Oryza sativa Japonica Group: one gene and its partner. The protein of the gene in region 2 interacts with the protein of the main gene of each other region in a pairwise test. Links are inferred from orthologs where the notes say so. Each region holds a gene or a part of one and is shown on either strand. Other genes may lie near its edges. The genes, in order: ABC transporter I family member 10 and zerumbone synthase.

The links.
Region 1: the proteins of zerumbone synthase (region 2) and ABC transporter I family member 10 interact in binary tests that used the Arabidopsis thaliana proteins (3 or more experiments, as listed by UniProt). The link is inferred for Oryza sativa Japonica Group from reciprocal best matches to the Arabidopsis thaliana genes ABA2 and ABCI10.

Annotation. Positions count from the first base shown.
Region 1 is NC_089035.1:33,119,835-33,124,104, forward strand, and holds the start of ABC transporter I family member 10, read right to left. Parts: upstream 2,813-4,270; 5' UTR 2,762-2,812; coding exon 2,486-2,761; intron 1,951-2,485; coding exon 1,864-1,950; intron 786-1,863; coding exon 660-785; intron 582-659; coding exon 459-581; intron 1-458.
Region 2 is NC_089037.1:34,910,352-34,914,662, forward strand, and holds zerumbone synthase, read left to right. Parts: upstream 1-1,457; 5' UTR 1,458-1,577; coding exon 1,578-1,621; intron 1,622-2,778; coding exon 2,779-3,580; 3' UTR 3,581-3,787; downstream 3,788-4,311. Other genes in the region: mitochondrial Rho GTPase 1, read right to left, coding at 1-75. UniProt on the Arabidopsis thaliana protein: Involved in the biosynthesis of abscisic acid. Catalyzes the conversion of xanthoxin to abscisic aldehyde.

The DNA of each region.
Region 1 (4,270 bases), on a different chromosome or scaffold from region 2:
TAGCTTTTGAGGTATGATGGCCACTCAACAAATGTGAATAAAGAAAAGAAAATTGCATTTGTAGAAGCAAAGCTACACAATTGTTTAGTTGTTTAAATAATAAATCGATCTGGGGTTTTTCAGTGATGTGGTTAATCATTGTTCTCCTCAGCATAATATTTAGTTACCTCGTGATCAATTACTACCTCTGTTTTTTAATATATGACGTTGTTGACTTTTTGACAAGCGTTTGATCATTAGTTTTATTGAAAATTTTTGTGCAAATATATAACAAATTAAGTCATTCTTAAAGAACATTTGACGATAAATCAAGTCATAATAAAATATAATTACATAATTTTTTGAATAAGATGAATGTTCAAACGTTTCTCAAAAAATCAACAACGTCGTATATTAAAAAGTGGAGGGAGTATTTGAGTACAACTGATTAGAAACAAGAACATGCATTATATTTATACCTGGTCGTATTCATCCAAGAATGTGGTCAGCTCATCCAGTAGTAGTACTTTGGATGCTTCAGCTAAAGCACCGGCAATTGCAACTCTCTGCTTCTGCCCGCCACTCAGAGTTTGGATTGGCCTCTGTGTTGGATGAAGGATGTTTGTGAACCTTGTGCAGACAATAGATTATAATCCAAAAGGAGCATGTCAGCTGCCTACTTGAGAGTAGCTTAACATTCCCACAGCATCCAGTGATTGTGATACTCTTGACCTAACCTCATCCAACGAAAGGTTGAGCTTACCAAGACCAAATGCAACATCTGATTCCACTGTCGGCATCACAACCTGCATTCAAAGAACGTAACTTAATATGTACCAGAAAGCTTGATCTAATTTGACATGAATGTGTCATTAAGCAATCTTCCTCCAATGCATCAAGAGTCAAAAAAATAACATTCTATAGTTGCTAGTAATATGATGCAAATACAGTCTAGCAATATCTTAATGAACATTTATATGTTCAAATTTAGTTCAGGGGAAACTCAGCAAACAGCACAACTGTATAGTTTTCAAAGGAACTAAAATATCAACACCTTATGTATCCAATTAGCTATAAAATTCTTAGTCCAAAGAGTTTACTAAGTTCTGAGTTAGGAATTACTTTCACACCCAAGTTTGTGAATGAAGATTAATGAGGAACACAGAACTAGATTCATTAAGACAATCATGTAGCACAAAATTTCTTGCTTGGTGAAACTAAATCTATTATGGGCAACAGTTAAGAGTGAACTCATCAGATTACAGTACAATTTACGAATTAGTATGTCTATGTATGTCGTTTCTTTTCAAAGACTTATATAATGTTGTCGAACTTAGTAGGATAGTTAACTAAGCTCTCAAATACTCCCTCCATCCCAATATAAGTGCAACCTAGTACAGATGTGACATATCCTAGTACAAATGTCTGTCCAGATTTGTAGTCGTGGGATATATCACATTTGTACTAGGTTACACTTATATTGGGATGGAGGGAGTATGAGTATTACCTTAAAATACATAAAGCTGGATGAGTTATATTGGTCGGTGAAGTAAAGCCTAAATATTGCAGAAGTACTTATAAAGAAAAACTGGACCTTGGTACTTTAACCGATGAATAGTTATTCAACAGGGTTACTAAGACTATGGCCAACATGCTTATACAGTCCAAAACGAATATGCAAGCAAGGAACATTGGAACCGAGACACTTCAATTTGCTGCAGAGTATCAATAAATACCAGATAGAAAAGAACAAAGATTTTCATGAATTCCATTTTCTAACTAGCATAATACACGTTATGTGAATGCAATTTTAACATTGTTGTATTCCATTTGAGAACGGAGTGAAATTTCAGATAAACACTAAAGCAGAATATAAGTGACAACCTGGTGATCGGGATTTTGGAAGACATAGCTGCATGGCCTGTTAATATACACTGTACCAGAAGAAGGATTTAAAAATCCTGCCAAAACCTAGAGAAAACATTCGGTTAACATCCCATTAAGGAGCTGTACTAAGAAATTCAGACCAATTTTGATAGTCCGGTAGCCTAATTAGGCAAGTAAATATTGTACAGCATTATAATAAAATTTATAGAACTTCTCCTCTGTCTTTTTTACTTTCTCATCCAGTCATCCTATATCATTCTATTCTGGGTGAGCATATCACAAAAAGTTGCTAATCTGATTGTGCCATCTGGTCCATTCATCCAAATAGTCAAATGTGCTTGATGCTCCACTCCTGAGATTCTATACAATGCTCACTCACTGGTTAGCCCAAGATACATACTAGTGGTTCTCGAATTAAAACATCCATCGGCTCCTGACGGTATACGAAAATTTCCTGGAGCAAGATATCAAAGAATGTGGTCCATGGGCACAATCTAATACTACAACTAAACTTTTGCCTACTCCATGAGCAAAAACGCTCAGGGCACGAACAAAATACACATGAAAAGCACAAGGACGACGCCCTCTTCAGTTCAGGGGGGTAAAGAAGATGAAGAACCTTGAGAAGGGTGGACTTGCCGCAGCCGTTGGGGCCGAGGAGCATCCAGAGCTGACCCGGAGGGACGCGGAGGGAGCAGTCCTTGAGCACCGGCAGCACCCGCCCCCGCCGAGTCGTCACCGACAACTCGACGCCCTGGCCCTCGATGGCCGGCGTGGGTAGGGACGACGCGAGGACACGGAGGCGGTGGCGAGGGCGGGATACGAGGGCGGCTCGGCCGGGGTCGTGGGGGCAGCGGCAGATGGCGGAGGTGCCGCCGGCGAAGGCGTGCGCCATCTCTGCGAGAGAAGTGAGAGCGGTAGATGGAGGCTTGTGGCCTTGGGGGCCCGGTTCTCCAGAAGACCAGAAGGCTATAAGGCCAGATGCCCACAAGTCCATTGGTTGATGGGCCGATTTGGGGCTTTGGGGGCAGAGAGTGCGGATACCATCCTGTGCTCCTACTGTAGTTCGTGGAAACGGATTCTCTAACTTTGTTTAGGGCCTGTTTGGTACAGCTCCAGCTCCACCCCTCCTGGAGTTGGAGCTCAGCCAAACAGTTTCAGCTTCACCAAAACTGGGAGTGGAGTTGGGTGGAGTTCTCTCACAAAATATACTAGAGTTGTGGAGCTGGGTTTAGGCAGCTCCACAACTCCACTCCAGACTCAACTCCTGGAGCAATATTTAGGAGTTAGAGCTGTACCAAACAGGCCCTTAGTTTACAGTTGTGCCACTTATATGTGGGCTCCACTTTGTTATGATCCACATCTCAGTAGTACAACTACAAACTGTACAAAGTTAGAGGAGTCTTTTCTCTAGTTTGTGTATTTGCGGTTCCTCTTACAAGAAAAACACAGCCACAGAGACCATGTGGTACATTTTCCATTCACAAAAAAGAAAGAGAATAAACCATAAAAAAAGAACGGGCTTTTTATTACCTGAAACAAATATGTGAAAGATTTCCAATCATGTAATCTCTCCGTCTCAAAATATAACAACTTTTAGCTCTTATGATTTGATGTGACCATGGCTACTACGGATACATCCGTTGCTCACCTCATGGATGGACAACAAGATATCAAGTTCGAGTCCTCCAAGTCTCAAAATCCAATTCGGCCACCTACTACCCTGCTGACTTCAAACGGCCGCCGAAGCTCCATACGACCTCCGTTTTCGGCCCGTGAGTACTTGATGGAAAGCTCTCGGAGTCCTCTTTCCAATGCATCAAGCCTCATTGCCAAATTCCATCTCAGTCGGCAGCAACTGAAGAAACAAGGTGCTGCGACACCTGTAATGGGACTATGGGCTTGTAACTTCATTTGGGACCCCGGCCCAGGTGGGGCCCATGTGGGGTGCGCCCCAAGCTGGTGGAGCACGACCCTAGGCACCCCTAGGTCATCCTCCCACCCCTATATATAGCTAGTTACCCCTTCAGGGTTTCTGGGGTTTTGTTAGAATAAAGTTTAGCCATTGCTACTTGCTTGCAGCGCGCGTGTCGGCTAGACCGTCCGTCTGCTTGTTCTTCGGAACCCCAACTTATCATTTGTATTGAATTCCTATTTGCAATATCAGATTGCTTTTATCTTGTTCTTGCTTGTTTCTTCGATTTGCTTGCAGGAATAGGGTTGATCTGCACCGGCAAGATCAACAACCCACGGAGAGGTGTATCGATCGCTAAGGCGCAACACAACGTCTCGTACGGTTGTAGTCGGATCGTCAACGTTTCTCCCAAATCGTAGTTATCACAACTCACCGAAAGATCGGGCCAACAACAGCCTTGAGTGTCGAGAGGAACTCAGGGTTCATCAG
Region 2 (4,311 bases):
CCGCTCCAACGTGTTCGGCCTGTCGCACGCGTAAGTGAGCACCACCGCGTCCGCCGTCTGGCACTCGGCGATCATCGATCACACGCCGAATCGATCAACACCACCACCAGCACAAATCAAATCGACACACGACGATGACACACGATTAGGGGAGAGAAGCGACGAAGACGGCTCGATTTGGGGAGAGAGGCGACGACGGCGGCGAACGTACCTGGAGGAGGTGTCGACGATGGTGACGGGGACGCGGGCGGGGAAGTAGTCGACGGGGAGGCGGGCGGGTGGCAAGACGCGGGCGACGCCGTCGTCCTGATCGGGGAACCTCCCGGTGGCGATGGTGGCGACGAGGCTGGACTTGCCGGTGCCATGGTCGCCGATGACGGCGACCCGCACGTCCAGCTTGGCCGCCGCTCGCGACGACCACGCGACCCCCATGGCGTCTCCTCCCTGACGTCTCCTCCCCTCCGCCCGCGGTAGGGTTTTTTTGTGGGGGGTTTGGGCGCGTCGCGTGGTGCGGCCGCCATCGCTGGCGTCGACTAAAATAGAGAGAGCGAGAGACGAATGGTGGGCATGTATGGACTTGAAAGGCCTGTTGGGCTGGGCTTTTCGGTGTTCCTACTCCATATGCCTAAGCGAGGCCCACAGGAATGAGGGCTCACGTAGTCGTGATGTCATCGTTTTTTAAAGATAATGGACTCAGTTAAATACTACAAAATGATACATTCTAAGAGTCCACCCCGGTCTCTGTAAAGAATGCACACAGCAAAAAAAACAGGATCTAAGAAGACCTTCTCATCACAAAACAGAAACCAGTCGCTATCAACCTGGCTATCAACCAATAGACTAGATCGCGACTCATGCTTATGGATAAAAAACTCCCACCTAGTCCAAACGTTGCGATACCACCGTAGTAGTATCCCGAAGTCCCGGTTTGTGAAGGATGGCCCAAGTGCGTAGCCACCGGATAACTAAAGTAGTAATCTGCAAATGAGAAGACACATCATACATCGGTCAGCGTCAGCCATCGCCCACCGCAGTGATCGCCGTCGCCGTCGTGGAGTCAATGTTAAAGAGTTTTTTTCTAAATTTTTTTAAACCTTCTTAATTTTAAAAACAAACAATTCCAAAATTTATTTTTCAGTCTTACTAACCCGTCTCGCAGTTAGTTAAGGTGACGTGGCAAGACAACACCCGGAAAGGTTTGTTATCAAAATTAGAAAATTTCAAAAAAAAGAAGGAAAAGCTCCAGTACCAGCCTGAGACGCTGATGGCATCGCTGTGAACGACCCCGCCCCCAGCCTGAGATTCCGTATTATCGCTCTCAGATCTCAGTTGTTCGTTTCTTCTGATTGTTTTTCATTAATTGAAGAAGCTTCTTTGCTCATTTGGTCATTTTGATCGCGATCCACTCAAGCACCCGGGCTCCACTATAATAATGCAGGCTAGTGTAGCAGCCCAGCACACACACACTAGTGCAAGCAGCTCGAGCTTGAGCTCCACCTCGCCATCGCCGGCGACTTCTCCTGTCCTGACCGGCCGGAGCTCCGATCTTGGCGGTGACCAAGAGACCTGACGAGACGATGTCCGCCGCCGCCGCCGCCGCCGCATCCTCCCCCGCTCCCCGGTACGTACCTGGTTCTGGTCGCCGTAATCCGATCTCCTCTTTTTTTTTTTCGCACGGTCTTCACCGGCGGCGCTGTATGTTAGTTTACTCGATCTCGAATCCCCGATGCGTCGCCGCCGGTGAAGGTCCCGGGCTTTCGCCGTTTGCCATGGCGAAATCGAGGGATCTGACTGACTGACTGACTGTCCCTATCCCCTTCCCAGTAAGAGTGGGCTGCTCAACTGATAGGTTTTGGTGTGAGAGTGTTTGGGGCTTCTTCAGATTGCCCAGAGGAAACCCCATATGTTCTTGAACTGAAAAGATGAATGGGGAATCTCAATGTTAGTCAAAGGGGGAATTAGTTTCTAATTTTCCCTTCAATAACATGTTAGCTGGTGTGTCAAGTCCTGTAATTTGTGAATTGTGAGAGTTCAGGCTAGCAAGATTAAGCTTGTATTTTGTTAGAAATAATGTGGTTAAAAATCATGTTTGGGTGGTTTTATGAGAAAAAAACTGAAAACATTGTTCGCGAACAAGCAAGTAAACAACTTTGCAATGGTGCTTGCCTGGTCTTTCCTCAACTAGGATAATGTTCTTTTCAAGTTAATTAGCTGTCGCAACTCACTAGTAGAAGTGCCTATAGAATTTAATCAAAACGGCGGCTCACTTATCCTTCCTCTGCCCCTTCGCAACTGCATTCTGGAATCAGCTTGAAATCCCGCAGACTATCACCAGCGCGAGCGACCTCCATGCTCTGCGCCCAAATGGCCGCCTCCCAACAAAACACTTCAAGGTTTTCTTCTTGCTTTGTCTCTGGGGATTATGGAATCATCGTTATGATGTTGTCTTCCGTGGAGAATCCCCCTCTCTGCATAGACTAGTTTCTAGATGTATTGAGGATGCAACCTTGTGGGCAGAGAGACTAGTTTGTGCTGACAGGATCGTTGTAATCCTGGAAACAAATTCTTTCCTCCCCCCTTCGCACTATGTAATCCAAAGTCGTGTACTCCTATCTTTCAATGAAAATTCAGGTGGGGAAGCTCTCCCCCCCGGTGACCAGTCTAAAAAAAATAATTTAATCAATGGTTCATGAAACACTGGTAATTCTGATACTAAATACAATTTGCATATTTATCAGTTCTTTAAATTTGATTTGGGTTCTTTCCTCTGGAGAAAAGGTTGGAAAGCAAGGTTGCGCTGGTTACCGGTGGTGCTTCAGGTATTGGTGAAGCAATTGTTCGCCTCTTTAGAGAGCATGGTGCAAAGGTATGTATTGCAGATATCCAAGATGAAGCAGGTCAGAAGCTCCGGGACTCCCTTGGAGGTGACCAAGATGTCTTATTTGTCCACTGCGATGTTTCGGTGGAAGAGGATGTAGCCCGAGCGGTCGATGCAACAGCTGAAAAGTTTGGTACTCTTGACATCATGGTCAACAATGCTGGCTTTACAGGCCAGAAAATCACAGATATCCGAAACATCGACTTTTCTGAAGTCAGGAAGGTAATCGACATCAATTTAGTTGGTGTATTCCACGGGATGAAACACGCAGCGCGCATCATGATCCCCAATAAGAAGGGGTCCATCATCTCATTGGGAAGTGTTTCTAGTGTCATTGGAGGGTTGGGACCTCATTCATACACAGCAACCAAGCATGCTGTGGTGGGTCTAACCAAGAATGTAGCTGGGGAATTGGGGAAGCATGGGATACGCGTGAACTGCGTATCTCCCTATGCAGTGCCCACGGCTCTCTCCATGCCGTATCTGCCCCAGGGCGAGCGCAAGGATGATGCCCTGAAAGACTTTTTCGCCTTTGTTGGTGGTGAAGCAAACCTGAAAGGTGTGGATCTGCTACCTAAGGATGTTGCTCAAGCAGTGCTCTACTTGGCAAGCGATGAAGCGAGGTACATCAGCGCGCTCAACCTCATGGTGGATGGTGGCTTTACCTCTGTGAATCACAATTTGAGAGCATTTGAAGATTAACAGAAGTTGTTAGGCACAATTGGTACTCTAGTTTCAGATGCTATGTACCATTCTGATTTTAGAACTTTGATCAATTACCTAAAGTAAGAATGTCAATAAGGAATGCAATCTTGTATCTGTGGTATTGTATAGTACTATGATTGTATTGCCGGTGCTTAAGGACAATCATTGATTATTATCAGCACTATTATGTTACAGTTCTGAAAACTGGTATGAGTTCATATAGCATCAATTATTCAGGTGTGTTAAGTAATGCTTCTATGTCAGCATGCCTACAGTACAGAGTTGCAAACCAGTGGATTTTACAGTTGAATAAAATTGATGCCCATTGGTGTATATAATCACTGATGACATGCACAAAACTGAATTTTCCTGAATTGGCACTACTGTGCTCACTCTAACAGAATCATTGACTTATCTGAAGAAAAAAAAATCTGCAGATAAAAGGGATTCTTCTACTGATGAAAATTGTATTGGACGAACTTTCATTGGGCCCGATCCATGAAAGAAGAAACTGACAGCATGAGATTAAACTGGTTGTGCCACGTCTAAATATTCAGCATACATGTAAAGTGCGAAAGAATGGCAGCCAACTGATTTCACTAATGCATGTGTGATGCAACAAACAATAATTTTACAGTACATGTATACACCAAACATAAACATATCATTAGCATAAGACGTATATCATCAGTCATCACCATCTGCGCTACAGTTTCTCTATAAACGGA